Linked DNA regions of Struthio camelus. The protein of the gene in region 4 interacts with the protein of the main gene of each other region in a pairwise test. Links are inferred from orthologs where the notes say so. Each region holds a gene or a part of one and is shown on either strand. Other genes may lie near its edges.

The links.
Region 1: the proteins of MORN4 (region 4) and HMMR interact in binary tests that used the Homo sapiens proteins (3 or more experiments, as listed by UniProt). The two-hybrid records come from large-scale screens. The link is inferred for Struthio camelus from reciprocal best matches to the Homo sapiens genes MORN4 and HMMR.
Region 2: the proteins of MORN4 (region 4) and BEND3 interact in binary tests that used the Homo sapiens proteins (3 or more experiments, as listed by UniProt). The two-hybrid records come from large-scale screens. The link is inferred for Struthio camelus from reciprocal best matches to the Homo sapiens genes MORN4 and BEND3.
Region 3: the proteins of MORN4 (region 4) and SEPTIN6 interact in binary tests that used the Homo sapiens proteins (3 or more experiments, as listed by UniProt). The two-hybrid records come from large-scale screens. The link is inferred for Struthio camelus from reciprocal best matches to the Homo sapiens genes MORN4 and SEPTIN6.

The regions. Positions count from the first base shown.
Region 1 is NC_090954.1:15,762,263-15,769,406, forward strand, and holds the start of HMMR (hyaluronan mediated motility receptor), read left to right. Parts: upstream 1-4,006; 5' UTR 4,007-4,217; coding exon 4,218-4,263; intron 4,264-5,467; coding exon 5,468-5,548; intron 5,549-6,208; coding exon 6,209-6,285; intron 6,286-7,144. Other genes in the region: NUDCD2 (nudC domain-containing protein 2), read right to left, coding at 129-212, 1,176-1,327, 2,720-2,768, 3,759-3,947. UniProt on the Homo sapiens protein: Receptor for hyaluronic acid (HA). Involved in cell motility. When hyaluronan binds to HMMR, the phosphorylation of a number of proteins, including PTK2/FAK1 occurs.
Region 2 is NC_090944.1:58,877,756-58,885,466, forward strand, and holds the start of BEND3 (BEN domain-containing protein 3), read right to left. Parts: upstream 3,211-7,711; 5' UTR 2,944-3,210; intron 2,114-2,943; exon of another isoform or gene 1,543-2,113; intron 224-1,542; 5' UTR 75-223; intron 1-74. UniProt on the Homo sapiens protein: Transcriptional repressor which associates with the NoRC (nucleolar remodeling complex) complex and plays a key role in repressing rDNA transcription.
Region 3 is NC_090952.1:11,990,923-11,999,119, reverse strand, and holds the start of SEPTIN6 (septin-6), read right to left. Parts: upstream 3,001-8,197; 5' UTR 2,986-3,000; coding exon 2,953-2,985; intron 1-2,952. Other genes in the region: ankyrin repeat domain-containing protein SOWAHD, read left to right, coding at 6,526-7,479. UniProt on the Homo sapiens protein: Filament-forming cytoskeletal GTPase. Required for normal organization of the actin cytoskeleton. Involved in cytokinesis. May play a role in HCV RNA replication.
Region 4 is NC_090948.1:17,027,010-17,034,523, forward strand, and holds the start of MORN4 (MORN repeat-containing protein 4), read right to left. Parts: upstream 3,209-7,514; 5' UTR 3,070-3,208; intron 2,885-3,069; coding exon of another isoform or gene 2,471-2,884; exon of another isoform or gene 2,434-2,470; intron 1,377-2,433; exon of another isoform or gene 1,303-1,376; intron 1-1,302. Other genes in the region: PI4K2A (phosphatidylinositol 4-kinase type 2-alpha), read left to right, coding at 2,471-2,884, 6,009-6,209, 6,455-6,586, 6,671-6,824, 7,358-7,419. UniProt on the Homo sapiens protein: Plays a role in promoting axonal degeneration following neuronal injury by toxic insult or trauma.

The DNA.
Region 1 (7,144 bases), on a different chromosome or scaffold from region 4:
CTTTCTCTCATAGAAATAAGTAATTGCCAACATTCTGCCAAATAGATCACGGAAGTCTTCACCAGTTACGCATTCCAGTCCTTAAGTGCGTTGTATTATCCCTCTCAAGGGACACAGGGGAAAACAGTTTACTTTTCAAGACTAGAGAAGTCTGGTCCTCCTTTGCTGTAATTTCCAGAAATTTCTGCCCCACTGAAGTCAAATCCAGGGTTCTGATGGACGTAAAAGAAAAATTTAGTATACAGATTATACTTAATACAAGCGTATAAACCAACGTTTCTGTTAACTTTCTGTGATTCTAACAAGGACATATAACTATCAGCTTGCTACACAATTCAAAGCTGTCACCGCACTGAAATTCCGCTTGGAGAATGCATCAACAAATAAACCTTGAATTGTCACAGTTGCGTTGCCCACTGCCCAAGTGACTTTATAATGCCATCCTCAGTTTGTCAGATCTCCCAGTAAAGAAATATTAACAAATGTTGGAGTAAGCTTTCTGACTTTTGGTGTCCCTTTAAATTACTATCTGAAAGCATAAGTACCTGCTGTGCTGGATAGCGATTAAAATAAAAACAGTGCTCTTTTTAGCTAAGAGTAATGTGCTGATTCAGCTGTTAACTAATTAGCTGTACTTCCACAAGTCTGCAAAAACAAACAGAGACAGCTGACTGCTAAAGGTGTATGAAAATGGTTAAAATCAATTTTAGTAAAAGGGCAAGGAAAATATTTGCCAGCTCTCCATCATCTGATATTATATGTAAATATAGTCATGAGAGCTTGATGTTAGCTGTATTTAAAACAAACTTCTAAACTATAATCTTAGAGAATAAGAGAAATCGTACGTACCCTAACTTAAATGAAAAGTTGTTGAAAAGAATTATGCATCAAACACTAAAACATTTTTTTCCTTTTCCCCAAAACTAACCTTAACTTCTCACCAAACATTCAGACAGAACAGCAAGTTCTTAAAAGTACTCTGATAAAGCCTAATGAAAATTCTATACATTAAAGTATGAAAGTATTAATTAATACTTTAATTAATTAGTATTGCATTAAAGTATTTGTTTCCAGGATCTTGCTACTGGACAGCAAAATAATTTTGCTCAGCTTTCACAGTCCTGACCCATGTGTGCAAATGCAAAATACAAGCAGTAATCAGTCCTCTGACTTGCCTCTCTTTGGAATCGCTCCAGCGTGAGTTTCCTTTGCATCTGGTCCTGTACCCAAGGATCAGCAGCGTATTCATTTTCTAACAGCGACGTCCAACAATTTCCAGCATCGCGGTTTGTCTTTGTTAGAACAATTCGTATCAATTTCCTGTCCTCTATTGATTGAAGAGAGCCACAGAAAACAACCATTAGACGCTGTCCCGTGTGCTACTTTTTTTTGTTGTTTTGCTGAGTTCACCATTAACATGTTGAAGCATGGAATTTTTTGCTGAAGTGATTTAAATTCTTAACACTGATGCCAACAGGGCTATTAGTAAATAATAACAACAACAAGAAATGGAAAAGCTCAAGCAGAGACAACCTTATGCAGCCATTCCCGCGCTTCTGGCCTTTAAAATGTTGAAGCTGTTCTGGGAGGTTAAAACGCAGTTCATAAGAACTTCTGTTTCAAACATAAACTAACTTCTTCGAGGGGTTCACATGTGAGAAGAGATTTAACCTATTAATACATACAGCTCTGCTAAGGCAATAATTACAGATTTGAAGTCAGGCTGACAGCTTTACAGAATGTTATTACCAGTAAAAGTCAGAAGTAAGTTTAAGTGACTTATGGAGGTATAATCATCTTTTTTTTTTTAAAATGTAGACAGTACTCTTATGAACAATGGCTATACTGAAAGAACATCTCGGAGTTATCACGTAGAATGTTTTAGCGCTAACTGAATAAATGCAGCATGATATGGTGCATTTTGAAGGTTATTCACGTACTGGGAAAGAGTGGGCTTCACACTTCTAATATTCATGATTAAGACAACAAATCGTTCATCAATGTTGATACTAGCCAGAAAACAAAACCATCCTAGGAAAACATTAAGTGAGAAGCACAGTTTACATAATTTTTTTTATTAAAACTGAACACTTCACAATATTTGTGATGCAATGATCAGAGAAGTTTTTTTCTCTTTATCTGTAGTTAGGTACCTTAGCCTGATTTTTATACCACTTGTTGATTCTTTAGGATTGTAGGTTTTGTCACCTATCCCAAAACATAAGGCTTGAGAGGAAGAGGAGAGAATACAGAAAAGTAACAATGACAGAGAGACCTGAATCACATAACTGCACCTGTTTAATTTTTAGGAGAGTTTATTAAAAACTTCTCACCATTCGCTTGCTAAAAACTTAATGTTTATTCTAAGGAAAGTTTGTAATCCCTTGAATACTGTCTTCCCAGATCTGGCATTTCTCCATTAATCTTAATCGCTAAATTTTTTGCGCTACCTATGCTTAAAATCACATATCACATAAAAAAGATAGAAAATTAATATCTAATCCTGATTATCTCATCAACTGAATTTACATCTCCTTAGTCTGGCAGTAATTACGGCCTATTTTACACTACATATGGAGAATCAGAACCTGACCAAAATCAGAAAATAAATAATCTTTCCTGTAAAAAAAAAAAAAAAAAAACCACCTCTACTTTCCTGTATCATATTTGGAAAACAACTGCTGCCTTTCAAAATGTCACTTTGGAAACAGATCATTACCTAATGTCCACGTTCCTTCATCAGCTATTGTGGAGTCAAAAAGTTTACCCTGCAAAAGACATTTACAATATTACATAACAGGAAAACCTGTTTAGTATCCAGTTTCTGTGAAATTGCAAAGTGTTACTCCCAGCTTGCATTCTTCCACTCTACTGAAAAGGGCAATCTGGCCCCACAAATCTACACTTGCACCTAGACTAGCAAATAATTATTTTGTTACACAACAAAAATATTAGAAAATAAGTGTTTAATGCAATAAAAATACCTGTCACTGTTTCAGTATCTCCATTCAATGAAAGGGGCTGTGTTCTCAGGGGGGAATGCCATTTTTAATTGCCTTGCCATCAGAATTCCAGTGTCTGCTAAGGGCCATGCCCACCTATGGCGCAATGTAAATACATTATGATACAAAGAATTTATTGCTCACTTCCAATGAGAAAGCAGATTTATATTTAATCCTCATCATCTCCTCAGCTGAATCTACAGCTTCTCAGTCTGGCAATAACGATGGCTCATTTTACAGAGCTACACACGGAGAATCAGAACTGGACCAAAACCAGAAAAAAAGAAATCTTTCCGGAAAAAAAAAAAAACCTCTGTAGCACATTTTGAGAAATTATACTACCTTTCAAGCTATCACTTCAGAAATAGCGTATTACCTAATGTCTGCTTTCAGAAAGAGACTGGTATAAATATCAGAGGACTTCAACAATATTACAAAAGGTCAGAACGCAGCTGCTTTCAGACGTCCTGACTCCCATGTTCTCTTTCATTTGCAAAGATGATTCTGGCTCTTTTAGCGGTGAACGGCAACGCACCACGCAGCGGAACTTATTTTTCTTGAAAATATACTCCAGCAACAGAAAGTCTTTTTTGACTCACTGCAGTTTATTCACCCCACTTAAAACATTAAGTTATACTACGTTACAAACGTGGAATCAGGAGCGTTTCTGAAGTGAAAACGAGTGTCCGCGTAACGGCCGCCGCCGCGGGGGCTGAGGGCGCAACGGCCGCCTGCCCCTCCCCCCCCCCGCGGTACCTGCAGCACCTCCTCGCCCCCCACGGCGAGCGCGACGTGGCGGCTCCGCAGGCTGCAGCGCACGTCGCGGGCCCGGGTGCCCGGCGGCACGCGCACCTCGATGAACACCTCCTCCAGCGTCTGGTACCAGCGGCCCCAGGGGGTGGCGCAGGGCACCACCCCGCTCCGCTCCTCGAACGGCGCCGACATGACGACGCAGACGCCGCCACCCTCACGCGGCCCACCCGGAAGCCAGGGCAGGGCCCCTCCCCGCGCGCATGCGTACAAGCAAAGCCGTCCCCTTTCCCCCCCGCGGCAGCAAGGCTGCGGAGGGTGCTGCGCGTGCGTCATGTGGGGGGAGGCGGTGATTGGCTGAGTGCACGCCGCGCCGCGGGAGGTGATTGGCTGTCGGCGGCGCGTGGCGGCCGTTGGTGCCGTTCGAATGCCTAGTGGGGCTAACGGCGGTTGCTGCCTGTGGCCATGGCGTTCTCCAGAGCTCCGCTCCGGCGCTTCAACGAGAGCTCCGGTACGTGCGCTGCGCTGCGCCGCGCCGCGCCTGGCCCCTCGCTGGGAGCGCGGGATGGGGGCGGCGCGGGGGACCCGGCTGGAGTTTTCCGCATCAGCGGCTGTGGGAGGGGACCGGCCCGCGGCTCTGGGATGCCTCTGAGCACGGCCCGGCCCTTCTGCCTCTGCTTCTCGGGGCCTCGCCGCGCTCGGGGAGCTCTCGCTTAAGCTGGTGTGGCAGTCCGCTGTGAGGAAAGTGGCCGGCCTCAGGCTGAATCCTGGCTGTAGGCTAACAGGCTAGCTACTGAAAGCTAGAGCGGACGGATCCAAGATGTCATGGCTCTCTCATGTTATGACACAAAGCTACAAAAAACCGTACAGGCTTTCTTTCTCCTGACTGAAGTACGGTTGCTGACAGCAATTTCCAGCATAAATGCTTTTCCTCACGAGCTTTTGGCTGTGGCCGCATACCTGCTTCATGCTGTTGCCTGTTCTCAGAGGATAAGTTACATGAAGTTGCTCTCCTCTCTCTGTAGTTACTTATGAAACTGAACAAAGTGAGTGGGCGTTTACTGGGCTTGAGACCACCTGGTTATGATTATACAAAGAATTTGTAGCTATGTTGTTTCTGCTTTTTTTTTTTTTCTGTTTTCCTTCGAGTTTTTCTCAACTCTTTAGATTCTTTTAATAAAGGAGTAAGTAGTTTAGTTATTAGGATGAGAAGTCTGGAATCCATTAACACCTAAATATTCTGTTCTTCCAAACTGGAAGAGGACTTTAAAAAAGAATAGATGAGGGTTTGTTCTGTCCCCTTTACTTTGCTTTAGAGTGGCTCTCTCTCTAATTAGCTATAATATCTTTTAACTGCTTTCTTTCAAATTGAATTTAATGCTCCGCTACTGCTGATGAGCTGTCTTGAAACACTCTGTATGTGAAGCAGAACTCCTAACGTTTGTTGGGGTACCCAAAAGAAAGTTAAATTGAGTAGTCGACAATGATCTCACTAGCGCTGCAGTAATCTCTCTCCACCCCTTCCCCCAACCATGTGTCCTCCTCATATTTACGGAGGAAAACTGAGATGGGTTGTTGTGGGGGTTGTGATGGTGTTGTTTTTAAAATTAGGTCTAACTTAGGTGTGTTACCAGCTTTAACTCACCGTTATCATTTTCCTTATTAGTTCTTTGCTGTTCTGAATATTTCGTTTCTTGCATGTACTCTGCTGCCAGGATCCTATGATGTCAAATCATTGGATACAGTAAGAAGTTCTCTGTCTTCTGAAACACATCAACGGGTTAGGAGACAGAAGAGTAAGTAGCCCTAAAATATATACAAAGTACAACAATACAATACCTTTAAAAGCTAAGAATGAAAGTGCTTACATGCTGCTTCTGCTCTGTTTTTGGTTTTTGTTTTCTCTGGGTGGGATTTACTGACTGTCTTCCAGCTGTCATGGCTGGCAGTTGTAAAGACATGAATTTTACAACTTAATTGAATCTCTTTCAAAAATAATCCTTCTGTGCAATTTCTAGTGACTAGGAAGTGCTCCATTTTGAATTCAACTAAATGGTTTAACTACTTTTCTAGCCTTGCTTTTAATGGGTGGCATTTTGAGTTGTATAGCTGAGGGGAAAAACAAAACAAACACTGTTCCTTAGCTGAAAACTGACAGTGGGAATGTGGAGTGGGGGTGGGGGGAGAAACTCAGCAGAAAATGAGTTCTCAAGATTGGTTGTCACCTGGTGATCTATTTCTGAACTATGAGCGCTGGACTGATTTAATACTGAACTGCTTGCTTGCAGTAAGAAAATAGCTAGCCTTGGGTTGTGAGGTAGGTAGTCTAATAATCAAATAGCATCCTGTCTTTTGTATACAAAGTTGCTTAACCTTTTCCTAATTTAGTGAAACTTTCTTCATCGCATGCATGCATGCATGCTCCCTTCACCATTCTTGTCTGCATCCTTATTTAGGTGAGACAAATCTGAACAGTGAAAAGAATGCATCTACCCCTGTAACTGGAAGGAGACTTGTATCTCTTGGATCAATAGTAAGACTTTCTTCTGTGATGTCTCTAATACTATTAACTCTAGCCAAGCTTAATATTGGGTCTGATTCTCAATGTCACTAGTTAAGAGCACATAGCTGCTTTGTATAGTTACCGTTAACCTATCTAGAAGAACTGTGAAATGCATTATTATGCCTGGTTTCCTTTTAAAAAAGGGGAAAAAAAAAAAAGGAAGAAAAAACCAGAAATCTTAGCATCTTTGGGATCACATGGTGATTACTTGGGGCTACAGAGTAGCTTGGTTGATGGTGGGGGGGGTTGTTTCTTTTGTTTACATCCAATTGCGATACAGCTGCTTCTCATTAAGATCTTATTTCTGCTTCTATTTTCCTGTGGTGGATGTTACAGGGCAGGAACCTAATGGTGGAAGAATATAAGAAAAGATGATACTGTATACGCAGGTTCTGAGATGTATGAGGATATGGGTTTCAAAATGCATATGTTAACAAATTGAATAATAACTCTAATTTACTGATTGAGTTTATGAGAGCTTGAGGTAGGAGGAAGTTCTACGAACAAACTTGTAGTTAAGTGATTGAAGGGCTTTTGCAGAGATTAAACGGTGTTTATGTCTTAAAACTTCCTCAATCTCCTTTCTGTCACCATGTTCATGAGCTATCCGTTCAGAGTAACGTTCATGAGAAAGTGCAATGGTAAAACTGTTCCTAATCTAATCTGTCTGTTCTGTGTGTGGCTTAGCTTCTGATTTTGTGTATGCTTTGGGCAGGGGCTGTGTCTTAAATATTGCTGTGTGTGTGAAGGCATCTACTGTCACACTTCACTGTGTTAAATTAGCATGTAGCTGGCAGTATTTTTATTTGTGAGGTCTAGTAACTCAGAG
Region 2 (7,711 bases), on a different chromosome or scaffold from region 4:
CTACAAAGTAACACTTAAAACTATTATAACATATAGAAATTAGGAAAAAAAAATGTATTATTCGCTTTACACACCTGACCACTTTGTATATATTCAGTCAGGCTTCCTTACAAATTCAGATTTTCTTCTGGAGAAACATTTTTGAAGGGGTTGTGAAGTTACTTGAACTTCACAGGTTGAGGTAGCACATTGAGGAAGTTAAATCTGGTACCCGAAACCACACCTTAATTAAAAGAGAAGATAAAACATTATCTGATTTCAAATTGACTACATATCTTAAGAAACTCTGAATTAAGAATGTCGCTTCAGTTATCTGAACAAAGAGCAAAATGCAAAAAGACAGCATAAAGAATACTAAAAGTGTGTTTTCTATTCTAGCAATCAATTTTAATATAGCAGGGTGCTGCTAGTGACCCAGCAATGGAGTTTTTGAATAAAATTTATTCTTGATATCCAGTATTGATACTCAAAAGACTAAATAACTTAGAAAATGCTATTCCATCACAATCAAATACAACTATAAGCACATGTGTAACAGAAGCTTTTAATCCGTGAAAAAATATTTCTTGTAAGAACCAGCAGATGTTGTTGGAAGCATTACCCCCATGGATAGAAAAATCTCTATACTTAACTGTTTGAAAACGTCCTTTGCTGCTTTGTGGAGGACAGGAAGCCTCACGACCGAAGCCTGCCTCTAACAATGGCATTTTGCCAACAGGACTTGCAGGGCATGTTCTCAATTTGTTTTTTTTTTTTATTTTATTTTTAGTTACATCTGCAGATGCACTTAAAAAAATAAAATCACGCTTCTCAGTTTTCCCAGAAGCTGCATATAGCTGAAATTTTCCCTACCTGTCCCCCTTACTTTCCCAAACACCAATTTCATCTTGCAGTGAATGATCAGTGCAATTTGTTTATTTTCAGCAATGTATTAACTACTATATGTATAAACTGTATGTAAGGTAATGCATTAACTACAATTTGTTCAATTAAGTGTTTTCCCCCGGTCTATTAGGAACATTGTTTTTCTCAATGCTTTGTTCTCTCCCTCCTCATCTTCAACTTTATTTTAAAATACTGCTCCATTTGAACTTCCTACAGACAATTTAAAATCCCCTTCAAACTCCACTACACTTTCCTTTATTTTTCACTCACTGGGTAACAAGCTATGGAAATACTTAGCAAAGATAAAAAAGTACTGTCAGTCAAATGCTGAGCTTGATTTAATGAGACAGAAAAAATCGACTACCATAGATTTCTAATTGTTTTACCAGCTGAAAGCATCAAAGTAAACGGAGAATCTGACAGCCAGATATTAGGCAAAAGTAGGGAAAGGATCTGAATGCCTCTGCCCCAAGCGTCAGGCCTATACTGCTCTTATAGGTGCCAGTGACAAGCTCTATCTGCGCTCCAACCCAAAGGCTCTGGGACTGCGTCAACGCTATGTGGAAGCAGTCACATGGCTCTTGGACTGCAGCCGGCTCACATTCTGCTGGTTCAGAGTTTGTTCCCTTCTATTTACAAAAGACTGCGTAGACATACCACAGGAGAGAGCAGGGTAAAGCACAGGGTGAGCTGGGTGGAGGTAGACCATTCCTCCGCATCAGCCTTCTCGCGTCCCCTCAACTCTTTGCAGGTCAAGAACCAAGATGAATTATGACAGAATCATCAGCTCGATGTTACTAAGGGTTTTTATCAGCTAAGGGTCTGACCCAAGTCCTCACTTCTCACAAGGCACGTGCTTACATGCTGCTCCAAAGGTTCCCATGAAGCCCACATGTAAGACCATTTAGCTTCTGAACAGAGCTGTTATCATGGGAAATACACACCGCAAGGTCCCTCGGGGATGAACCACGCAGTCAGCTACGCTAGAAACTTGTGATACCGACTAGCATGCTGCCAACCGGCCCTGCCGCGGGGAGGACGGGCGCCGGCAGAGGGAGATCACCTCTGCCCTGTTACTTGCCTAGCACTCACAACCCACTCACGCCGAGTCAGACGCGATCCCCGCCCATGCCATCGAGTCGCCCCCTTTTGCAGGCACCGGGACGGCACCGGGCCCTCTACGGGGGACGAAGGCAACTTCCCGCTCCGCTCTGGGGCTCCCGGGGGCCGGCGCTGCGCAGCGTCGCACTCCGCCCCGGCGGGACCCCCCACCCCCACCCCCGCGGAGGACACGTGCTCCGGCCCCGCCACCTCCACCCCCCCACACACACGCACGCACGCACGCACACGCGGGGACAGAGGGGCGGCGGGCCCCGAGCGGGAAGCGCGGCGGCGCCCCACGGGCTCCAGCGCCTGCCACGTGGGAGCCACCCGCGGCGCCGCGCGGCGCCGCGGCCCCGCCCCGAGGCGGGGGCTGCGGTAACGCCGGCCCCGCGCGCCCCGCACGCGGCGGCCGGGGCCGCTTCCGCGGTCAGACCCACGAGCCCGACGCGGCGGCGGCGGTGGCGGCCGCTGCTTCCGGTCCGAACCCTGCCCGGGCGGATCTATGTGGCGGGCGGGGGGGGGGAGGGGGGCCCGCGGGCAGAGGAGGGAGGGTTAAGGTGAGGCTGGAGGTGACGGCGGCGTGACCGTTCCACTCCTCCCCCCCGCCCCCGCCGCCGCCGCGGAGATGGAGGCACCCGGAGGGAGCGCGCGCGCGCCCCCGCGCGCCCCGAGCCGCAGCGCTATAGCAACGTTCCAAGCAACGAACAAAGAGTCCCCCCCCGCCCCCCCTGCCTCCCCCGCCGCCCGCCCCGCGCCCCACGGGCAGGGGGAGGGGCGGCGGCGCCGGGGGCCCCGCGCCGCGGCCGGGGGAGGGGCCGGCCCGGGCCTGCCGCTCGCTCTTCCCCCCCCCCCACCCCGTTCCTCCCCTGGTCGCCGGGGCGGCGCTCCCCACCGAGGGCTGCGCGGAGCGGCGCCCCTCCCGCCACTGCGCCGGGGAGCGGCGGCGGGACTTACCTAGGCTGCCTGTGGGGGCACGGGAGCCCCGGGACTGCGGGGGCGGCTGGAGCGGCCGCCGCTGGTGCCCGCGCTTCCCCCCCGCTCTTTGTGTGCGAGGGTCCGCGCGCTGCGCTCTCGCGTGACGTGACGGGACCGTGTGTCATTTCCGCACAAGGACACTGAGCCCCAAGCCGCCGCGGCCAGCGCCACCCGCCGCCCCGGGGCAGGGGCAGAGGCGGGAGGGGAGGGGGGAGGAGCAGGCCGCTCTCCCCCCTCCTCTTCCCCCCTCCTTCCCCACCCCCCGCCCTCCCCGGCGCTGCCACAGGGAACGCGGTTCCCACTGGAGACCCCGCGCGCGCCCGCCCCCGCCGCGCTCCTCGCGAGCGAGCACGCGCGCGCGCGCGCGCGCTGCCCACTCGGCGGCGCGGGGGCAGCCCAACGGCCGGGCGCGAGCGAGCCGCGCCGCGCCGCGCCGCGCGCCATGGCCGCGAGCAGCGCCGGCGGGCACGGCCCCGGCCCCCCGCGCCGCCCCTGCCGCACGTGGGCCCGGCCCGGGGACGCCGAAGGACACGCGGCGCGCTCTGCCTCGGCAGCCGCCGCGTGGAAGCGAGTGGCAAGGCCGGCACCGCCGCCGCCGCCCCCGGGGGTGGTGGTGGTGGGGGAGCCACGCACGGCACGGCCGCCACCCCGGCAGCCCGCGCCGGTCGCGCGGCGGCGGCGGGCCGCGCACGTGCAGGCGGCGGCGGCGGCTGTGAGCTTGCGCTCGCCGAGCTGGGGGCCGAGCGGCGACCGGGCGGGCGGGAGATGGGGGACGGCGTGGGGGGGCAAGGGGGGCGGTGTCCCCGCCGGGCGGGCGGCCACCACCGCGTGGCCATGGCCGGCGACGGGAAGCGGCGAGCACGTGGCCGCGCGGCCCCGCCGGGGGCGGCGCGCGTGAGGCCAACGGCCGCTCCCGCCCCGCGGCCAACGGTCGCCTCCTCCCCCCCCACCCCCCACGGCCGGCGGAGACCTGAGGGAAACGGCCGCCCGCCGCCCCACGCGGGTCCTGCCGCGAGTCCCCACGGGCGCCGTGTGTGCCGGCGCGGGCAGAGCGGCCGCCCCTGCGGCTCCCGGAGTCCCGGCCCTCGCTGGCCGCGGCCTTTCGGAGGGGCCGTACCGGGCCTGGCGCTGGGAGCTGGCTGTAAAGCCTTCAAATAAATCCCCATGTCGTAACGCCTGCCAGGAATCCCTCATGTCGTTATTTGGGCAGCGCGTGATGAAAGTGTGAAGAATCGCTCATTAGTTATGACACTTGTTCGCCGTACGCGCGCGCTCGCTGACTTGACCCAGAAGGCGATTTTTCTGATGAGCTGGCGCTTCTGGACACACCGTGGCAGGCTCGCGGCATGGTTGGAAGTGGTGCTGCTCCGCACACTGCCTGCCTTTATGCAATGCGAAAGCCTTCTTTCGTGTTTCTTATTGCCAGGTAAGGAAAGCTGGCATTTGGTGCTGTTTTAGGCTGCAGCCTGTACTTGTAAAAACAGAAATTCAGTAGGCTCTGTTTAATTCACTTCCAGGCTTGAGGATTTTATGTTCTTTCCTTCATCACTTTCACGAGAGAATTTTTTCTTGCTTCACATTTGTGGGGCTGATGGCTGCAATGATTTATAAAACAGAGATCACATTCTTTTTTAATTAAGTATCCTTGTAGATCTTATCTTTTTTTTTTTTTCTGAGTTTGACACAGGCATTACATTAGTTTGGCAGTTCTTACTTGCTCTTGCTACTAAAAGCTTGTAGAAAAACATTTCCCAAAGATTTAAAAAAAAAAAAGAAAAGAAAATATGGGACAGGGAAGTCCAATATTGTAAGCTTTGGCCTGTTATGGCAATTGTACGCTTTAACTATATTTAATGACCCTGAAATTAGCAACGTATCAAACTCGACAACTTTTTGTGAAATGTTTTATTTGTACAATGAACTCAGCTGGCGCTGCTATTCCGATTAAATAGATGCCTCTTGCCTTTTAATAAAAACACATGCACAGGAAATTCCCTTTCTAATTACATTGTAATGAAGTTTCAATTTTTCCAGAGTGAAAGGAATAAGTCCAAAGGTGTTACGTTATTAAAAATAAATAGATAAGGATGGATCCTGCCATGAAGGGTGATGGAACTCACAGAATTTCAGCATAAGGGACTGTTAAACGGAAATGACAAGTAGTAGAAGCAATTTAGCAACAACCAAACGTGTAAGTAGAACACCTCGGCTTTGAGCATTGCTGTGGATTCAACAGATGAATCTTTAATGTCTGTTACCTACTGAAACTGCATTTCGCTATAATAAACCTACCTTTTCTTTTTTTAGGAAAAGCAAATACAAAAACATGCAAGTCAAACAATTGAGAAATAACACCATGGGAAACAAAATCAAATGCCCCATAAATAACTCTTTCCTAGATATTTCCTATTTCCTCAGACTTGAACAACATAAACAGTGGGTCTTAAAAAAAAAGCCACCATTTCAGATTTTCAGTGCTTCCTTTAGAAACAGTTCTCTGTAATTTCATTCTTCCAGTTACGCGGCTCTTCTAAATTTGGAATTTAGGGCTGCTGGCATATTTACAGGGTCATATTCCATGAATAATCCTAACAGATAATAGTTTGTTGATCTTAACCTTAACTGCTCTTTTTTTTTAATTATAGACAACTGTTTAAAGGCGCTTTTAAAAGCAGGAACTACCCGCACTATAACTACTCTGATGAATCACTTGAATGAAGGATGCATTTTATTAACAAGACAAGCGCTCTGCAGTTAGCAATTCATTCAGCCTTTAGAGATAAAGAGCACTTCCAGATAACTTTTCTGAGCCTGTTAGCACTATAAAAAAGACTTAAGTTTATAGTATGATGATCCCTCTCCCTTTATTGTAAAGCTAATTGAAGGAGTACAGGGTATAATGGCTTAACACCTGGCCCAGCTGTTAAGTAGTGCTATATCTCAGCTGGATTTTACTTGAATGCTTTACTGAGTGGGATTAAGCAAAGGCGACCATAAGGCAAGAGCAAGACGGTGGAATCCCAAACTCAGTTTCAGAGCCCTTGAGAAAATACTTGCCAGTTTGAACTCCACCTCGGTTCTGCTCTATAGCGCTGGCCTGAGGCAGTCTAGCTACTAGGGACCCAAGCCCAGGAGGTGACCTGAAGGGCCTCAGCTAAGCATAAAGAAGCATGAGCATATTGTTGCAATAACAACATTCACTGAAAAGGGAGCAAGCCAAGTTGTCTCCAGGCAATGCAGGTAGCAAGCTTAGATTGGCTTCCTAGCCAGACAAGTCCCAATTTTTTCACTATTTGAACCTGTGCTACACAAGTCATTTATTCAAGTGTTCATTTTTTCCCTTCGTGCCTTTGGCTCAAAAGCCACTCTGTGACCCTACCGCAATCTCTGGAAAATTCCAGGTCACCAGGGAGGGAAGGGGGAGGGAAGGCTCTGGTGCTTCAACAAGAAAACTCTTCAGGAAGAAAATCATGATTGCTCTTGAGTGCAAACAATGGGCCATTTCTCACTTGACCAAACCGAAACTATAGATTTGCAGCCATCGACACTGGCAAAACTGTGTTCAGAGCTGCTTGCAAGCTGAAAGCACCATTTGCAGTTGGAGTTTAATAAGGGTGGACTATGATGGTTCCTTAAAAGTTTACCTGTAGAAACCGTAAGGTGCCAGGCTGCCTCCTCCCCCTCCCGCCCTGCAGAATACCCTCTCTGTGTTAGTTCAAAGGATGCAGTCAGGCAGGGAGTCCCCTCGCGGTGCCGAGGAACCGCAGAGCTGGCAGGGAGCTCCTCCACGCTCCCTGCTGCAGTGGGCCCCCAGCTGGAAGCCACACCAGTGCAGGACGCTGAGGGTTATGGCACGGCACGACAACATGGACCGGGAGAATGAGTCTAAAGGTAGAGGCCTCTCTGCTTCCAGTGCCACATGCATTTGGCATAAGCAAGAATCCAACCTAAAACTTTCAGCTGGCCTTCTTTCTTCTAGATTCTTGCAATACCCTGCAGCGCTCACTCAGTAGGCAGAGGCGGAGCATGTGACACACCAACACGGACATCGAAAGCACTATCAGCACCAACTCATTCTGGCAGTTTGATTCCGTAAAAAACATTGCTATGCTACCAGTATAACATCTTTCACCATTCTCCACCACACATCTTGAAACCAGGCCACCTTGCACCCGACACCAGATGCAAGAGTCATGGTGTCTGGAAGGAAAGCCAAGAAGCATCGTAGCGGTTAGGACGCCCTTGCGTCCAGACCCAGTTCCTTGCAACTTATGGGCATTTTATATTAGGACCCTCATGGGAAAACAAGTCCCATGTCCTTTAGGGACAAGCCTCACTGATAACCAGGCTTTCTTCTGCCTGCTTGTGGGATGTCTTGATGATTCCTGCCTTGCTGGCCGCACACTGTGTGTGCAATGGGTGCAGGTGGGCGTCCCCTCCTGCGTGGCAGCCCAGCAGCAATCTTCTGAAATACGGGTACAATCTTCTTTATGTGATCACGGTTTGAAAGCTGAGGCTGGAGGAGTGCTTTGCCACTGGCCTTGCCTAGGGGACGGAGGCTAACGTCTACTGCTGGCTCCCAGTGCCAGCGCTGGGGAGGGACAAGCACCTAATTTAAATGGACTGGATTGCCCTCTAGAGGCAAGCCAGGTAGGCTGGCTCCCCACAGCAGGTGTCCTGCTGAAGTCTTCCCACTAACTCCATGTGACAAGCTGGGAGTCAGGCACTGACCAAAATCGGGCAGGTA
Region 3 (8,197 bases), on a different chromosome or scaffold from region 4:
AACAAATCTTCTCCTCAGCCCTAAATATAAGTGTGATCCAGATGGAACAAAATAAAAGTTAAGCCACCGTAGGCTAGAGGAGGCATTTGCCATCACAGAGAAATCAGTCTACAAGTCATTTCCTGTAGCCTCTTTTTCTAGTCACCTGTGGTTTTCTAATGCAGTTAAACCACACTTCACATTTGTTACAGGCCAGGAAACAAGAACTGCAAAATCTGATTTGCAGTCACAGCAGCCGAACCTTTACGTTAAATAAGCAGCCACAAGGTATATTGTGCTCTACTGCCTAAAAGTCCAAAGCCCGCACGGCCAAAGAACTGGGAGATCAGATACGGTGAGAAAATACAAAATTATGTTTTAAATTCACACTGTTTTTGATGCACGTCAGAAAGTTGTCAGCAATTACCAAAGCTGTGGAGAGAAAAGAAACATTTTCTACCTGATCCACTAAGAAGTGGTGCAAATAACGAGTCTTCACACACCAAGTGGTGTCTCTATACGCAGCCTGCTGCTCTATATAAATAGCTTCACCACAAACAACATATGAACACAGCGATTAGTCACACTGCCTATATATTAAATGCAGATTTGGATTACCTTGTTCAAAATGAGAGTATTTTAAGCCTATGCAACAATTTGTGCTAGAAAAGAGTGTTCAAGAGCTGCTCACCATTGTTTATGTTCAACAGCAATTTTTTGGGTCAAACGCACAGAGAGATCCCAACAAGGCAGATAACGTTTATTGCCCACGTGAAGGCTTTTTCCGCTAACATCAGCGAACGCTGGATGTCTAAGAGTCCTTTCGCGGTCTCTGTTTCAAAGCTAGCATCTTCTTGGAACGAGGACAAAGCCGGGAGTATCTGGGAAGCCAGTGTGAATACTGGCACTACACCAAGCTACCAGATGCCTTTTTTTTCCCCCATACGTGCAGAGTGACCCCCCAGGACAGAATGAGCTGTTGTTATGCGGAAGCAGCAAAGTGTGTTTGCCACAAAGAAGACTAAAAGAACAAAAAGAGCAACACACTGCCTTGCTGCGTTGCCAGGTGGGGCTACCTGAGAGCAAAAGTATGGTGTAGCCACTTGGGGAAGTAATTTTATTTTTTCCGCATCGTTGGGGGATTTACACACCTTTTCTTAGGCCTTTTCCTTGCCACAAAAAGCAGTGCTGTCTACCCTAATTCTCACGTAGAAGTATCAGAAAGACTTAAAAACTATACAAGTGTTATAATAAATTATCCCAAGCCTGAAAGCACTCCGATTAAATATTAGTTTAGTTAAATTGGGCAAAATTTGGACTCCAGGTGCTTGCCTCTCTCCAGAAGTCCTCAGGAAGGAAAAATAATTAGAAAAAAATCTCACTGAACGCGCACCTCTGCCTTTATCTTCTTTACACAACAAGTAGGTACAGTGCTGTCGGCTCCAGAGATGACCTGAGAGCGCTGAAAGGTGGTTACCGCTTCGTGGAGATAAAGTGGCACATCATCTGTCAACCACGCAACGGTGCTGCTCCACGTAAATGTCAGTGCTCCAGATTCAGAACCCTTTCTGGCGGCTTGTGCTAACAGGAACGCTGACAAACGACACCGTGGCAAGAGAAAGCCTCCGCTTGGCAATACTCAGGCAGAGCACAGCAAAGCAAATAAAAAAAACTAAAGCTCTCAACCCAATGGAGCCGGTGTCCAAACGAGGCCTGCACAACCACAAAAAAGCTCAAAAAACTGCTATTCTAGAGGAAGCAGTACAATCCTTTTTCTGCATCTAATTTAAAAGAGCATTTCTGTTTAGGATACTGACACGTGACAGATAGTACTTTCACCACGATCTCCCACCCGCCCCAAGCGAAAATCATTTCGCGCTCTGAGGCCTTGGAGACTCCCTTTGGAGGATTTCTAAAAGGCCGGAACGAACACAACGGCAAAGCCCCCCGATGAAAACATTGAGCAACGTCCACAGAGCTCCACCACTACGCCTCTCTGCCACCCCGTAAAGCCAAAACCCAGCAGGTTAATTCCTGCACCTGAAACGGTTGCACAAGAAGTCAAATGTCAAACCAGAAAGCAAGCCAAAGCCTGAATTCAGGTTTCTGCACCACAGTTTCTCAGATCATCTCTGCGCTAGAACACCACCAGATCCCTCCTCGTGACCTCGGCGCTGTGGCATCCACTTCCCCAGCCTGCATTTGGCTCTGATTAAACAACAGATTAGAGCAACGCTTGTACCAGTCGCTTGGCACTTGTACAAGCGTGTAATTCTCCTGTGCAACGAGAGAATTATCCAGTAGGCAGCATAAACATCCTCTAAGAGACCAACTCAATGCAGGAACGTAAAGCGTAGATACTTTGTATTTCTTTTTCTTGCTCAGTTCATAACAAATCAACAGCATTAATTTACAAGAAAAACAAGTGAAGAGGGAGAGAAATAGTTTTGAATCAGCTACCAGCAGAAGCAAGAAAAATCTCACCCCAACCCCAACCATTGACCCCGCTCCCTTTAGGCATGCTGCATCACCCAGCCATCCAGTATTCAGAAACGGTCAAGCGCTTCTGAAATCTCCAACTCTGACAGCTCTTAAGATTACGTTTCTTTATGCCCTTGCCAAAGGGTTGCAGAAACTCCAAGCTGTTTGGACACGTTCCCAGGAGAAGTCTCCTCAAGCAGTTAAAAAAATATATATTCGGCACCCTTCGTGATTTTTCTACCTTGTACCACCGAGACCGAGAGCTAGACCCTGCTCTGCAAGATGCTCCACCACCACAGCCGTCCTCCGCCCACGGACTAGCGGAGCGGGAGGCAGTTTGGACCATATTCATTTAAAACTTGCCCCCTCCGCGCTGCCAGGGAGGACAGGAGAGGCGGCGAGGGTTTCCCCGTCCTGGCCTGCCGGGAGCCGGGCAGCGGCCGTGCCCCACCACCCCGCGCAGCCAGGCCCCCGTCCCTGGCACGCGCGTACCCCCGGCGGCGCGCAGGCGGCAGCTCTCCGCATCGCCAGGGCGCCGCGGCCGGCCGCGCCACGAACCCGGGCGGCGAGCGGGGGCCCGAGACCCGCGCCGCCAAGTCGTCTGACTGCATCTAGACGTTTTCCGTTTCTGACTGCATCTAGACGTTTTCCGTTTGCGGCAGGCTGGTTTCTCGTCCGTCTTGCCGCTAGCTTTCACTCCTGCCTCGGAAGGCAGGCTGCGCCCTCCCGCAGCTCACACCGAGTTACTAGCAGATGTCTGGAGGCACCGTCCTCGGGGAGCCTAACGCTCGACTGCGGGCAGGGGAACAAGCGAGTCGCTCGCGTACCTTGGCCACAACTCGCAAGCCAACGGGTGCGTCCAGGAGGAGACAAGGCCGCGGCTCGGCACGGCGGGGCTACGCCTACCCGCCCGCCCGGATCGGGCCCCTGCAAAAACCTGTCGCTCGCTCTGCGAAGGCCAGGGCCAGCCCTCACCCCCAGCGCCGTTCGCGCTAGCGCTCGGGCGCGGAAGCCCCGCCGTCCCGCAGCCAGCCAGGACGCCGCGCGACTGAAAACGCCTTGCCACCGCCTCCTTGGCGCGGCTCTGACAAAGGCGCAGGCGGCCGGGCCCCCCCGCGCCCTCTCCGCCGACGCAGGGCGGGATCCGAGCCGCGGCCAGGGCCAGGGCCGGCGGCGGGGCCCCTTCGGCCGCCGCCTCCCGCCGCCGGGCCCAGGCCGCGGGGCCCGGCCCGGCCCGGCCCGAGCGGGTCCTGCTGCCGGGGCGGGGGGTCGGGACCCCCCCCCGACCCACGCCGCGCCCCCGAATCACCCCGGCCCCCCCCGGCCCAAATCACCCCCGAACCGCCCCAGCATCACCTCACACCCTGCCCCCTCCCCGCGCCCTGCCAACGGCGCCGGGGCGCGGCCCGGCCCGGCCCGCCCGCTCCCACCTGCCGCGCCACCTCGGCCGCCGCCATCGCTGCCAGCCCGCCAGCAGGGCCCGCCCCGGCCGGGCGGCGCCGCACCGGGCCGCGCCCAGCGCCGCCGCCGCGCGCGGGGGGGGGGGGGGAGGAGCCCGCGCCGCCGCCCCACCGAGGCGCGCGGGGCTCCCCGGCCCCCCCCGCGGCCCCTCGCGGTGGTGCAGCCCGCGCCGCGGGCCGGGCGCTGGGGCCGGGGGGGGCACCGGGACTAGGGGGGGGGCAGGGACCGGGGGGCACCGGGACTGGGGGGGGGCAGGGACCGGGGGGCACCGGGACTAGGGGGCAGAGAGGACCGGGGGGCACCGGGACTGGGGGGGGGCAGGGACCGGGGGGCACCGGGACTAGGGGGGGGGCAGGGACCGGGGGGCACCGGGACTAAGGGGCAGAGAGGACCGGGGGGGCACCGGGACTGGGGGGGGGCAGGGACCGGGGGGCACCGGGACTAGGGGGACTGAGAGGGCCGGGGGGGCACCGGGACTGGGGGGGGGCAGGGACCGGGGGGCACCGGGACTAGGGGGGGGCAGGGACCGAGGGGCACCGGGACTAAGGGGCAGAGAGGACCGGGGGGGCACCAGGACAGGGGAGCTGAGAGGGCCGGGGGGGTTGGAGGGGGCACCAGGACTGGGGGGGCACCAGGACCGGGGGGCAGAGAGGGCCCGGGGGGACAGGGGGGCAGGGCCGAGGGGGCTGAGAGGGCCGGGGGGGCACCGGGACTGGGGGGCAGAGAGGGCTGGGGGGGGCCCAGGGACTGGGGCCTGTGGGGCCTGGGCTGGTGGGGACAGGGGGGCCTAAGTCTCCGTAAATTGCTTGCTACGTAAAATAAAACACGTGCGCGTTTTGTGCGCGTCCCTGGAGGCCCATCCATGCTCTCCTACGACCTGGACCCATGGCTGCTGCGCTGGGGTGTTTCCGGAGCGCAGCTCGCAGGCCGCGCTGGGCGAGGAGGGGGCGGCCGCCCCGCGCGGCCCCGGGGGCCTGGCCGCTGGCGTGGGGTGGCCGGGGGGCGCAGCGGGGTGCGTGTAGGATTTTCTCAAGCTCAACTCCTTCAGCCGGGGCTGAGTTGCAGCTTCCTTTGCGTTTGGAGGTCGGCCTGGCGGTGGAGGTGCAGCGGGCCGGGGCGCGGGCGGCAGCCAGCAGGCTCCCAGGGGCTGGAGCTCGCCGGGATCGTTTGACGCTCTCTACCTGGGCTTACACGTTGCTGACGTTGAGGGGGTTTTGTCACAGAATCACAGAATGGTTGAGGTTGGCAGGGACCTCTGGAGATCATCTAGTCCAACCTCCCTGCTCAAGCAGGGTCACCTAGAGCATATTGCCCAGGATCACATCCAGATGGGTTTTGAATATGTCCAGCGAAGGAGACTCCACTACCTCTCTGGGCAACCTCTTCCAGTGCTCTGTCACCCTCACAGTGAAGAAGTTTTTTCTCAGGTTCAGGTGGAACTTCCTGTGGTTCAGTTTCTGCCCGTTGCCTCTTGTCCTGTTGCTGGGCACCACGGAGAAGAGACTGGCCTCATCCTCTTGACACTCCCCCTTCAGATACTTGTACACGTTGATGAGATCCCCTCTCAGTCTTCTCTTCTCCAAGCTAAACAGGCCCAGCTCTCGCAGCCTTTCTTCACAGGAGAAACGCTCCAGTCCCCTCATCATCTTTGTAGCCCTCCCCTGGACTCTCTCCAGGAGTGCCATCTCTCTCTTGTACTGGGGAGCCCAGAACTGGACACAGTACTCCAAGTGAGGCCTCCCCAGGGCTGAGGAGAGGGGCAGGATCACCTCCCTCGACCTGCTGGCAACGCTCTGCCTAATGCACCCCAGGAGACCATTGGCCTTCTTGGCCACAAGGGCACACTGCTGGCTCATGGTTAACTTGTTGTCCACCAGCACTCCCAGGTCCTTCTCGGCAGAGCTGCTTTCCAGCAGGTCAACCCCCAGCCTGTACTGGTGCATGGGGTTATTCCTCCCGAGGCGCAGGACCTTGCACTTGCCTTTGTTCAACTTCAGGAGGTTCCTCAAACCTCATGAAACCTCATGTTGTCACCTTGGACGACTGCGAGACTGCCTTGGCCTCCCGCGGGCGCGCGTTCCCGCCGGGGACCGGCACGAGCGGCGGCCCGGTCCGTGTCTCTTGCTTCCCTGAGTGCGCAGGAGCCTCCGAAGGTTGTTGCCCAGGCCAGCAGCTGGGGAGAGGGAGCGAGGGGACGCGCGCGCTGCCCAGGCGCCCCGGCGGAGCGGCTGCCGGCGGACGGAGAGCCGCCCGGCCCGGCTGCCTCGGCGGCGGGGGAGAAGCGAGGAGGAGGAAGGAGCCGGGGGAGGAAGGCCGGGGAGAGCGGGCTGGGGCTGCGGGAAGGGCGAGCCAAGCCAGCTGGCGACCGCTCCAGCCTGGCGGGGGCGTGGGCGGAGGCGGGGGGGGGGGACGTGGTGGCTTTCAGGGCTGCCGGAATTTGTCCTGGTTCCTGGTGAAACGAGGAGGGCAAAACCGCTTGCGCGGCGGCCGCCGGCGGGGGGCAGCGCGGAGCCCTGCGCGGCGGCAGGTGGCGGCGCGGGGCGGAGCGGGGCCGGGGCGGCGCGGAGCGGTGCGGAGCGGGGCCGGGCGGCGGCGGCCGCCAGCATGGCCCGGCCGGAGGGCGCCCGGGCGGCGGAGCGGCAGGTCGCCGGCGCGGCCCCGGCTCTGGCCTGGCCGCCGGGCGCCGGGAGCCGCGGCGGCCCCGGGCTGCCGCTGCCGCCGCCGCCGGCGGCCGAGCCCGGCCGGAGCGGGCGGCGGGGCGCGGGCGGCGGGGCTGGCGCGGCGGGCAGGCTCTCCGTCGGCCCCGGCAGCGGCCGCAGGAAGGAGCTCAAGGGAGTCTTCCTGCCGAGCAACGGTCCCGGCGGCGCCGCCCAGCAGCTCTGCGACGGCGGCGGCGGCTCGCTCGCGGGGCTGCGCCGCCGGCGGGAGCCGGAGCCCGAGGGCAGCCCCGAGGTCCTGTCCCTCGCCCTCGACCCCCTGGAGCACGAGTGGCTGCTGACGGTGGCCCAGGGCGACTCGGAGAGCATCCTCCGCCTCCTGGACCTGGACCCCAGCCTGCTCACCCGGAAAGACTTCGTGACGGGCTTCACCGCTCTCCACTGGCTCGCCAAGCACGGCCACCACGAAAGCCTCATCACGGTCATCTCCCACGCGCAGAAGAAGGGCTACCCGGTCAACGTGAACGTCGCCGCGGCCAGCGGCGGGCTCACCCCGCTGCACCTGGCCGCCTTGCAGGGCCACGAGATGCTCATCAAGGTGCTCGTCGGGGCTTACGGGGCGGACGCCAGCCGCAGGGACCACAGCGGGCGCAAGGCCTGGCAGTACCTGCGGGCGGACGCCTCCTGGGAGCTGAAGGAGCTGGCGGGGGCCCTGGAGGAGGACTTGGCGCAGCTGGGCGCCCACAACACCAACAACAACTGTAAGTCATCCAGGGAGGCCCGGGCAGGCGCAGGGGACTGCGTGGACTCGGGGGCTGAGGGGAAAAAACAGCGGTCCCGGAGCCTGTCGACCCTCCGGGACTTTGTCAGGCAGGCGTTTGCTTTCTTCCAAGAGCGCTGAAGCGTCCCCGGCCCGCGTTGCCTGGAGACCCCGCGCCGAACAGCGGCCACGCCGGGCTGGGAGCCTGGCGGGCGCTAGCGCTTGCAGCCACCAGCCGAGCGGGGATCAACCCCCGGCACGGGGCGCGGAGGCTGCGCCCGCGCTTTCGGCCTCGTGCGGCTGCGAGCGCGCGTGCGGGCTGCCCTCGGCCGCCGGGAGCGCTTTCCGGCGACCGCTTTTCCCCTGCAAAACCCCCTGCCTCCTGCGGCTACGCTGCCAGGCCCGGGGGCCTCCTGCCCTGCTCGCTGGGGACCGGCGCCGCTGGGGCACCAGTTCCACCGCGGAGGCAGGAGCCCGCTCCCTGCTCACGCGCTCGCCCCGCTGATGGGATCTGGTTTTCCGACCCCGCGGCCCGGCAAGGAGGGGAGGTGGCGTCTGTGCGGGGCGCCAGGGAGCCGAAGGGTCGGCTGCCGCGCCTGGCCCGCTGGAGGGCTCTCCGTGGGAGCTCCGGCAGGTCGCGCCGACGCTCCGTGACTCCGTGTTGCCGTCCGTGAAACGGGGCTGCTGGCACTGCCCTGGCTCCCGGCAAGGCTGCGAGGTTAGACTGGTTGCTGCTCCTCCGGCGCCCGGACCGAGACGCCGGCAGAGCGTAATTAAACGTTTCACAACGATACTCTGCGACGTTGCCCGTCTGGCACCGGGCTGCCAAAGCAGAAGCGAGCGAGGCTTCAGAAGTGTC
Region 4 (7,514 bases):
CACGGCCAGCTGGAGCCAAGCACTGCTGGCAATGCAGGCACGACCCACATGGGGCATGCACCCACCAGCAATGGCTGCACACCCTGCCTGTGCTATGCACCCGGGGTGATGCAGGTGATGCATGCACCCCCCCCATGCAGGCAACGCACCCACAGGTGTTGCATGCACACCCACATGAGCCATGTACCAGAGGTGACGCATGCAAACCCCATCTGAGCCATGCACCCACAGGCAATGCATGCACACCCGACACGGGCCATGCATCCAGGGATGATGCATGCAAACCCCACGTGGGCCATGCAGCCATGGGTCATGCATGCATAGCCCACATGCAGCATGTGCCCGGGGAGATGCACGCCCACCCTACCGAGGCCTCCCTCCCCCCAGGTGTTGTATGCACACCCCACATGGGGCAGGCACCCACAGGCAATGCAAGCATGACCATACGGAGCATGCACCCGAGGTGATGCATGCACACCTCACGTGGGCCATGCACCCAGGGGAGATGCATGCACACCCCATGCAGGCCATGCACCCAGGGGAGATGCGTGCAAACCCCACGTGGGCCATGCACCCAGGGGTGATGCATGCACACCCCACGTGGGCCATGCACCCAGGGGTGATGCATGCACACCCCATGTGGGCCATGAACCCAGGGGTGATGCGTGCAAACCCCACGCGGGCCACGCACCCAGGGGTGATGCATGCACACCCCACGCAGGCCATGCACGCAGGGGTGATGCGTGCATACCCCAGGCGGACCATGCACCCAGGGGTGATGCTATGCTTGCAGACCCCAGGCAGGCAATGCACCCGGGGTGATGCATGCACACCCCACGCGGGCCATGCACCTAGGGGTGATGCGTGCACACCCCACGCGGGCTATGCACCCGGGGTGATGCATGCACACCCCACGTGGGCTATGCACCCGGGGTGTTGCTTGCAGATTCCAGGCAGGCAATGCATCCAGGGTGATGCATGCACACCCCACGCGGACCACGCACCCGGGATGATGCATGCACACCCCACGCAGGCCATGCACCCAGGGGTGATGCTTGCACACCCCAGGCGGGCTATGCACCCAGGGGTGATGCGTGCACACCCCACGCGGGCCATGCACCTACATCTAGGGGTGATGCATGCACACCTCACGCGGGCCATGCACGCAGGAGTGATGCGTGCACACCCCAGGCGGGCCGTGCCCCGGGGGCGATGCACGGATGCCCGGTGCCCACCACCACGGGCGGGGCGGGCACGCCGGGGCGGGCCGGGCGGCGCACGGCACCCGCCGCCAGCGCTCACCTGGCTCCGCGCTCGCCGCCCGCACCGCTCCCCACCGGGGTCCCGCCGAGGGGCGGTGGCACGGCCACCTCCCTGCCAGCCCCCCGCCCCGTCGGGCGGCGCAGCGCCGCCAGCATCCATCCCCGCAAGCCGTTGGCTGTATCCATGGCAACTGTTAGCAACGCGGCTCCTCATTGGCCAGCTTTCTAACGCCCCCTCTCCTCCGCCGCCATTTTTGTGAGGGGCAAGATCATCTCCTCCCCGGCGGTGCCACCGCTGAGGGGCGCCGCCCCCAACCCAAGACACCGCCATCTTTGTGAAGGGCAGCGGGGGGCGCCCCTTCAACTCCTGAGCGGCCATCTTTGTGTGGGGCAGGGGGCCGCCAAGGCAGTCTGTGTCGGCTCTCTTTTCTAAAGTGCTTTTCCCCTTCGCACCTGGATGAGAGGTGGTGGAAAAGCAGCAAATCACACATCCTCGGGGAGGCCGGTAGGAAGGACACAAGGCAGGCAAGCGCTGCAGTCAGCAGGTGAGCTCGCCCCCAGAAGAGCGTCCAATGCCGTGAGGCGTGCGGCCCCGGTGTCCGGCACAGCTGGGCAAGGGAGGATGGATCAAAGCTACCAGCAGCGCGGGAGAGAAGCTGTGCTGGGGGCGTGCGAGCTGCAGGGCCCTTGGCGTTACAAGCTGTTGAACGCACAAGGCCCGTCTTTGGTGCGAGGCCAGAAAAGCCTGCAGAAAGCACCAACATCTGACCTAGTACATACTGAAACAGAGATAAGCACTAGAGGAGATCGGCGGCCAGCAAGAGCCTGGTCTGAGCCTTGGCCCTCTGGCTCTGGGCCTCTGCCTCTGCAGAACTAGCTCCACCCGCCTCCTGGTACCCCTGGTCCTGTCGGAGCGAGCAAGGGAGCTCTAACAGGCCAGGCCTCCCCGCAAGCGCGCTGCGGCCCAGCGCTCCCCTAGGCACCCGCGTCTCCTGCGTGGGACGGGGCGGCGGCGGCAGCGGGGGCAGCCGCCATGGCGGGCCGGCGTCCCCATGGCAACGGCCGCGGCCCGCAGGGCAGGGGGCCGGGCCAATGGGGAGCGGGCGGGGCGGGACGCCGGGCGGGCGGGCCAATGGGGCGCGGCGGCGGTGACGCGGCGGAAGTGGCGGTCAGCTGACGGCGCGCGCCGCGCGGGCCCGGCGGGAGCCATGGACGAGACGAGCCCGCTGGTGTCGCCGGAGCGGGCGCAGGCCCCGGACTACGGGCTTCCCGGCGGCGCCGTGCGCGCCCCGCTGCCGCCGCCGCCACCCCCGCCCCCGCCCTCGCCGCCCGGCTCCCCCGGCGGCCGCGACCGCGAGCGGCAGCCGCTGCTGGAGCGCGGCGCGCGCGGCCCCGGCGCGGCGGCGGCGGCGCAGGCCCAGGCCCAGGCTCAGGCCCAGGCGGCGGCGGCGGCGGCGGCGGCGGCGGCGGCGGCTGCTCAGCGGGAGCGGAACGACTTCCCCGAGGACCCCGAGTTCGCCGAGGTGGTGCGGCGGGCTGAGCTGGCCAGCGAGCGCGGCATCTACCCCGAGCGCATCTCGCAGGGCTCCAGCGGCAGCTACTTCGTCAAGGACCCGCAGGGGGTGAGCCCGGCACCGGCGGGGCCCCGGGCCCTTCCCCGCGCCCCCGGGAGAGGCCCCCCGGGGCTGGCTGCCTGCCTGCCCTGCCGCCGGTGCAGCCTGGCAGAGGCCTCTGGTGAGGGTGCTGTGCCGGCCTGGCGGAGGGCCCGCCTCGGGCAGGGCTTGGCCGGTGCAAGGGCTGTGCTCACCCTCAGGCCGGGTCAGCTCGTGACATCGATCTGGGCTTCTGTGGATTGATAGGAGCAGCGTGGGGCTGTCCTGCCAGGAGCCCCGGGCGGCTTCCCTCGGTTGGGAACGCCGCAAGGCGTCGCACACGGAGAGCAGTGGAGCCGCAGGAAGGCTGCCCCCTCTTCCGCAGCCCGCTTCTTCCTGCCGATCAGCATCTGCTTACTGTGGTGACCTCAGCCTTAGGGCTGAGGCTTTGATGGCTGCACCATTCTCTGGTCTGTGAGACTGGAGTAAGAGTTCCCCTCTGTGGGCGTGTGGGAGATTGACTCAACACAAAGTCCTCAGCAGAGCTGACTCTCTTTAGATCTGCTTGGCAGCCATCTCCACACCACTGGCTAGTTGCGTGTGCAGCACAGCATGGCTTGCCTTGTGACCTGCAGCGCCCAACTCAAATACTCGAGCTGCTGCTGCTTCCTGTGACTCCCTTGCCAAGTGCCTGCTGGGGTGCTTCCCAGGAAGCAGGACTGGGCTCATGTGTCTTTGCTATGCTCTGGCTTTTCTGCCCTGGGTGGAGGCAGGGAGCTCTCACAGGCAGGTCTCAGCTGCGCTGTCTGTGGGGCAATACAGAGAGTGTGCAACTTCCTTTTGTGCCAGCCTTCTGTTGCCCAACAGGAGACATGGTGTTGTTGCTGGTGTGGGCAGCTGGACAAGCTGCCCTGAGGTTGTAGGGCAGTGGTTGCCTGGCTGTAGGGAGAGGATGCCAGGCCTCAGTGAGGACTGATGGAGGAAGTGTGCAAGGAGCCAAAGTCTGTGTGCTCCTGGCTGTATCCCAGGCCGGTCTCCCTGGCCTATCCTGCTGTGAATAAGGTGCATGTGTTGTTCCTGGGCTGTCCAGGGTCACTGAAACCTGCCTGCTGATGGTGTGGGAGGGAGTGCAGTGCTGTGATGGACAGGCTGGGGCAAGGGAAAGATTGAGGACATTGAGGAAAACCTTCTGAGATGGGGTCAGGTGCTTGCTTCCCTCTGGGAGGCTGAGGACCTGAGCTCTCCCAGCTAGGACCTTACATGATGTGCTTCCTTGCAGTCCTGGCAGTTGAGGTTACCCCAGCTGCTGGCTGGGCCTCCAGGCTGGCTTGGCTCCCCCTTCCCTGCTGCTGGTGCTGATCCATTTTCACTGCTCCACGGTGCTCTGAGCAAGCTACTTCCCAATCTGCCCCCAGCGCAGGTCTGAAAGGGAACACTGCTGCCAGGCCTCTCGTCCTTGCTCCAGGACTATTCCTGCCCTGCTGGACTTGCTCCCCAGGGCATGGTACTGGGAACTCCATGCTGCTAGAGCTCCCAGCCAGCCTGTTGCAGGCTCGAATCCAAGGACATGCTGGCTACCCTGTGTCCTTACATGGGGCTGATAAGGCCTTCCTGCCTATTCTCTAGGTCTTGGCCCACTCTGAGAAGTGGTTCCTCTGTGTGATCTAGGGATGGCTGAAGTGCTGCTGTTCTCCCAACCCTTCCCCTCCCTCTTCCCAGTAGCCAAAGTCTTGCTCCCACTTTCTCCAGGTTGGCTTTGGGCCCCTGGCAGACAATGGGGTTGCCTTGGAAAGAAGGCCCTGGGATCCCTCGCTGAGATGCTGGGGTTGGTGTCCCACTTCTGCACTGTGGCAGGAGCTTGGCTTGGGGAAGTGCCACCCACTCAGGGCAGGGCTAGAGCCAGCTCTGGGGAGGAGGGATGGTCATGTGTGCTGCTGAGTCATCCTGCCTCAGGGGCTGCAAGCTGGGAGCTGCTGCTCAGCCCCTCCGAGGGATCCTGACCACCCAGCTGATTGGGCTGGGGCCGGCAGCCTTGCCCCAGCCCTGTATCTCGGTTGCCTGGGTGGGAGACTTGGCCTGGTGACGATGCAGTGACGATGCACGTGGCCTCTATGCTCTGCATCAGTGGGGTGACCTGTCTCTCTGTGTGACTCTGCCTGCTGTGGGGTTGATAAGCACAAGGCTGGAGTGAGGGGCTGGGGGTGCTCCTGGCACCAGCTGCCGCCCAATTTGCTGATAGGTAGAGATGTCTGCACCTTCCTGCCCACAGGAAAGCCAGGGCCCCTCTGCTGTCTCTAACTGGGCCCTGCAGCACAGAGCCTAGGGCCCCTTGGAGGTCTTTCAGCTGCTGTGCTGCTTCAGCCCTATTGCTTCTGAGCAGCCTGGGGTCAGCTCTGTTCAATGGATATTGGAACCAGAGCAGGGGCCTCTGTCTTCCTCCCTTCTCCTACATGGGTATAATTAGCAGCTGGGAGTGTTAGCTCTTCCCAGACATCCAAAGGTCACTGGACTGGTGCTGAAATATTTACCAGGGCAGGGGACCGCATTGTCAGTGGTGCCCTCTGGGACAAGGAGAGCACTTCCTGGGCGCCTGAGCCAGATGTGAAATCCTTGGGCAGCACTCTGATCTCATGGGATGGGGCACTGGCTGGAGGAAGGATCTGCCCCAGCCCCTGCCTCCCTCCTGGGAGCCCAGAGGCAGGTTATTGCCCTGGTGAGAGGTTGTTCTGGGTCCTCTTCCTGAATATGCATGTGGGCAGTGCTCACAGCAGCTGAGCCAGGGCTGGCAGTAGGTGCCTGGAGAATAAGCCAGGGTGAAGGAAGAGTGACTGCCCCAGTCTAGGGTGTGGATTTCTTGGCAGAGACGAGTGCTGGGGGTGCAGGTTTTTCCCCCTTGCAGTGGGTGGGAGTGCCTGACAGGGGATGATGAGCAGTGCCCAAGCCTCTCCCCTGCTCTGGGAGGGGATCTGAGGTGGCTGATGGGCAGAAAGAAGCAGGGAAAGGCACAGCGGGGCTGGGTACTGCGGGAGGGTGGCTTGGCTGAGTCTGTTCTGTTCTGGCAGAGCCCGTCCCTGCCACAGGCTGGCCCAGGGGTGAGTGTCCTGACTCCCTACCAATTGCCCAGAGAGTCAGCCCTCCTCTCTCTTGTTCTCAGAAAATCATTGGTGTCTTTAAGCCCAAAAATGAGGAGCCGTATGGGCAGCTGAACCCCAAGTGGACCAAGTGGCTGCAGAAATTGTGCTGCCCCTGCTGCTTCGGAAGAGACTGTCTCGTCCTGAACCAGGGCTACCTGTCGGAGGCAGGTGCCAGCCTTGTGGACCAGAAACTGGAACTCAACATTGTTCCCCGCACAAAGGTGAGAGGGCCGCTGCTGGGCTCTTGTTCCAGGGAGTCTCATCTTGTCTGCTTGTCTTGTGGCACTCTAAACCTTGGAAATCTTGTGTTGAGAGCTCTGACCCACGACTGCTCCTGCTCAGGCTGTGGGGAACCTGCTGCTGAGCAGAGCCGTGGGAAGGGCTGTGTCTTGGTGTTATCGGCAAGGCCTCTGAGGCCTCGGTGCCCCAGTTGCCCTAGCTGACTGGCGTGCTGACATCTCCTCAGGTGGTGTATCTGGCCAGTGAGACCTTTAACTACAGTGCCATTGACAGAGTAAAATCCCGAGGAAAGAGATTGGCCCTGGAGAAGGTGCCGAAAGTCGGCCAGCGCTTCAACCGCATTGGTCTGCCACCCAAGGTAGGGCTCTCAGGCTAGGCCTGTGCCTGTCACCACCTCTCCCTCTACTGCTGCCCTGTGTAACGAACTTGCTCCTTCCTTCAGGTGGGCTCCTTCCAGCTCTTTGTGGAAGGCTACAAGGATGCTGACTACTGGCTGCGGCGATTTGAAGCTGAGCCGCTTCCTGAGAACACCAACCGGCAGCTGTTGCTGCAGTTTGAGCGGCTGGTGGTGTTGGACTACATCATCAGGAACACAGGTAGAGCCAGCTGCCTCGCTTGGGGTGCTGCCTGCTCCTTTATGTCCTGCCAGCTGGAGAGAAGGGATGTGGGCAGGAACTTGACAACTCTTCGCAGCACCCAAATCTGTATCAACACCGCTTGGTTGTTGCCAAATGGCAGCTGCCTCTGGGGTGGAGCACAACTGCTGTGGCTACCACCAGCACGGCCAAACTTTGGCTCTAAGCCTGTATTCTGGAGGCCAGGCTGGGGTCTACCCAGGTGCTGGGGCAAAAGTTTGCCAGCTGCAAGGATCCCAGGACATCCAGGGACCCTGCACCAAGCCCCTGACTGTGCTGCAATATCCCAGCTCGTGCTGGGCCTCCCGAGTTCATTCTGGGCTGGAAGGATTATGGGCTGGAGCAGCACTCCTGGGCTGGCAGGCTGACCTTTCTTTGTGCCTCTCCTGAGAGCTGGGAATGCCTGGACCACTTTAGTCTCCTCTTTAGCTGCCTGGGGATTGATGGGGCTTCCCAGGGCTGTAGCTCATGTGGCTGGTTCTCTCTTCCTGCAGATCGGGGCAATGACAACTGGCTCATCAAGTATGATTGTCCCCTGGACAGCGCAGGCGTGCGAGTGAGTGGTTGTTCCTGGGCAGGGGCACCGCAGGGCTTGTCTGCAGCTTGCAAGCTGGTTGCCTGGCAGACAGGCAGGGGACTTCCCAACTGGCT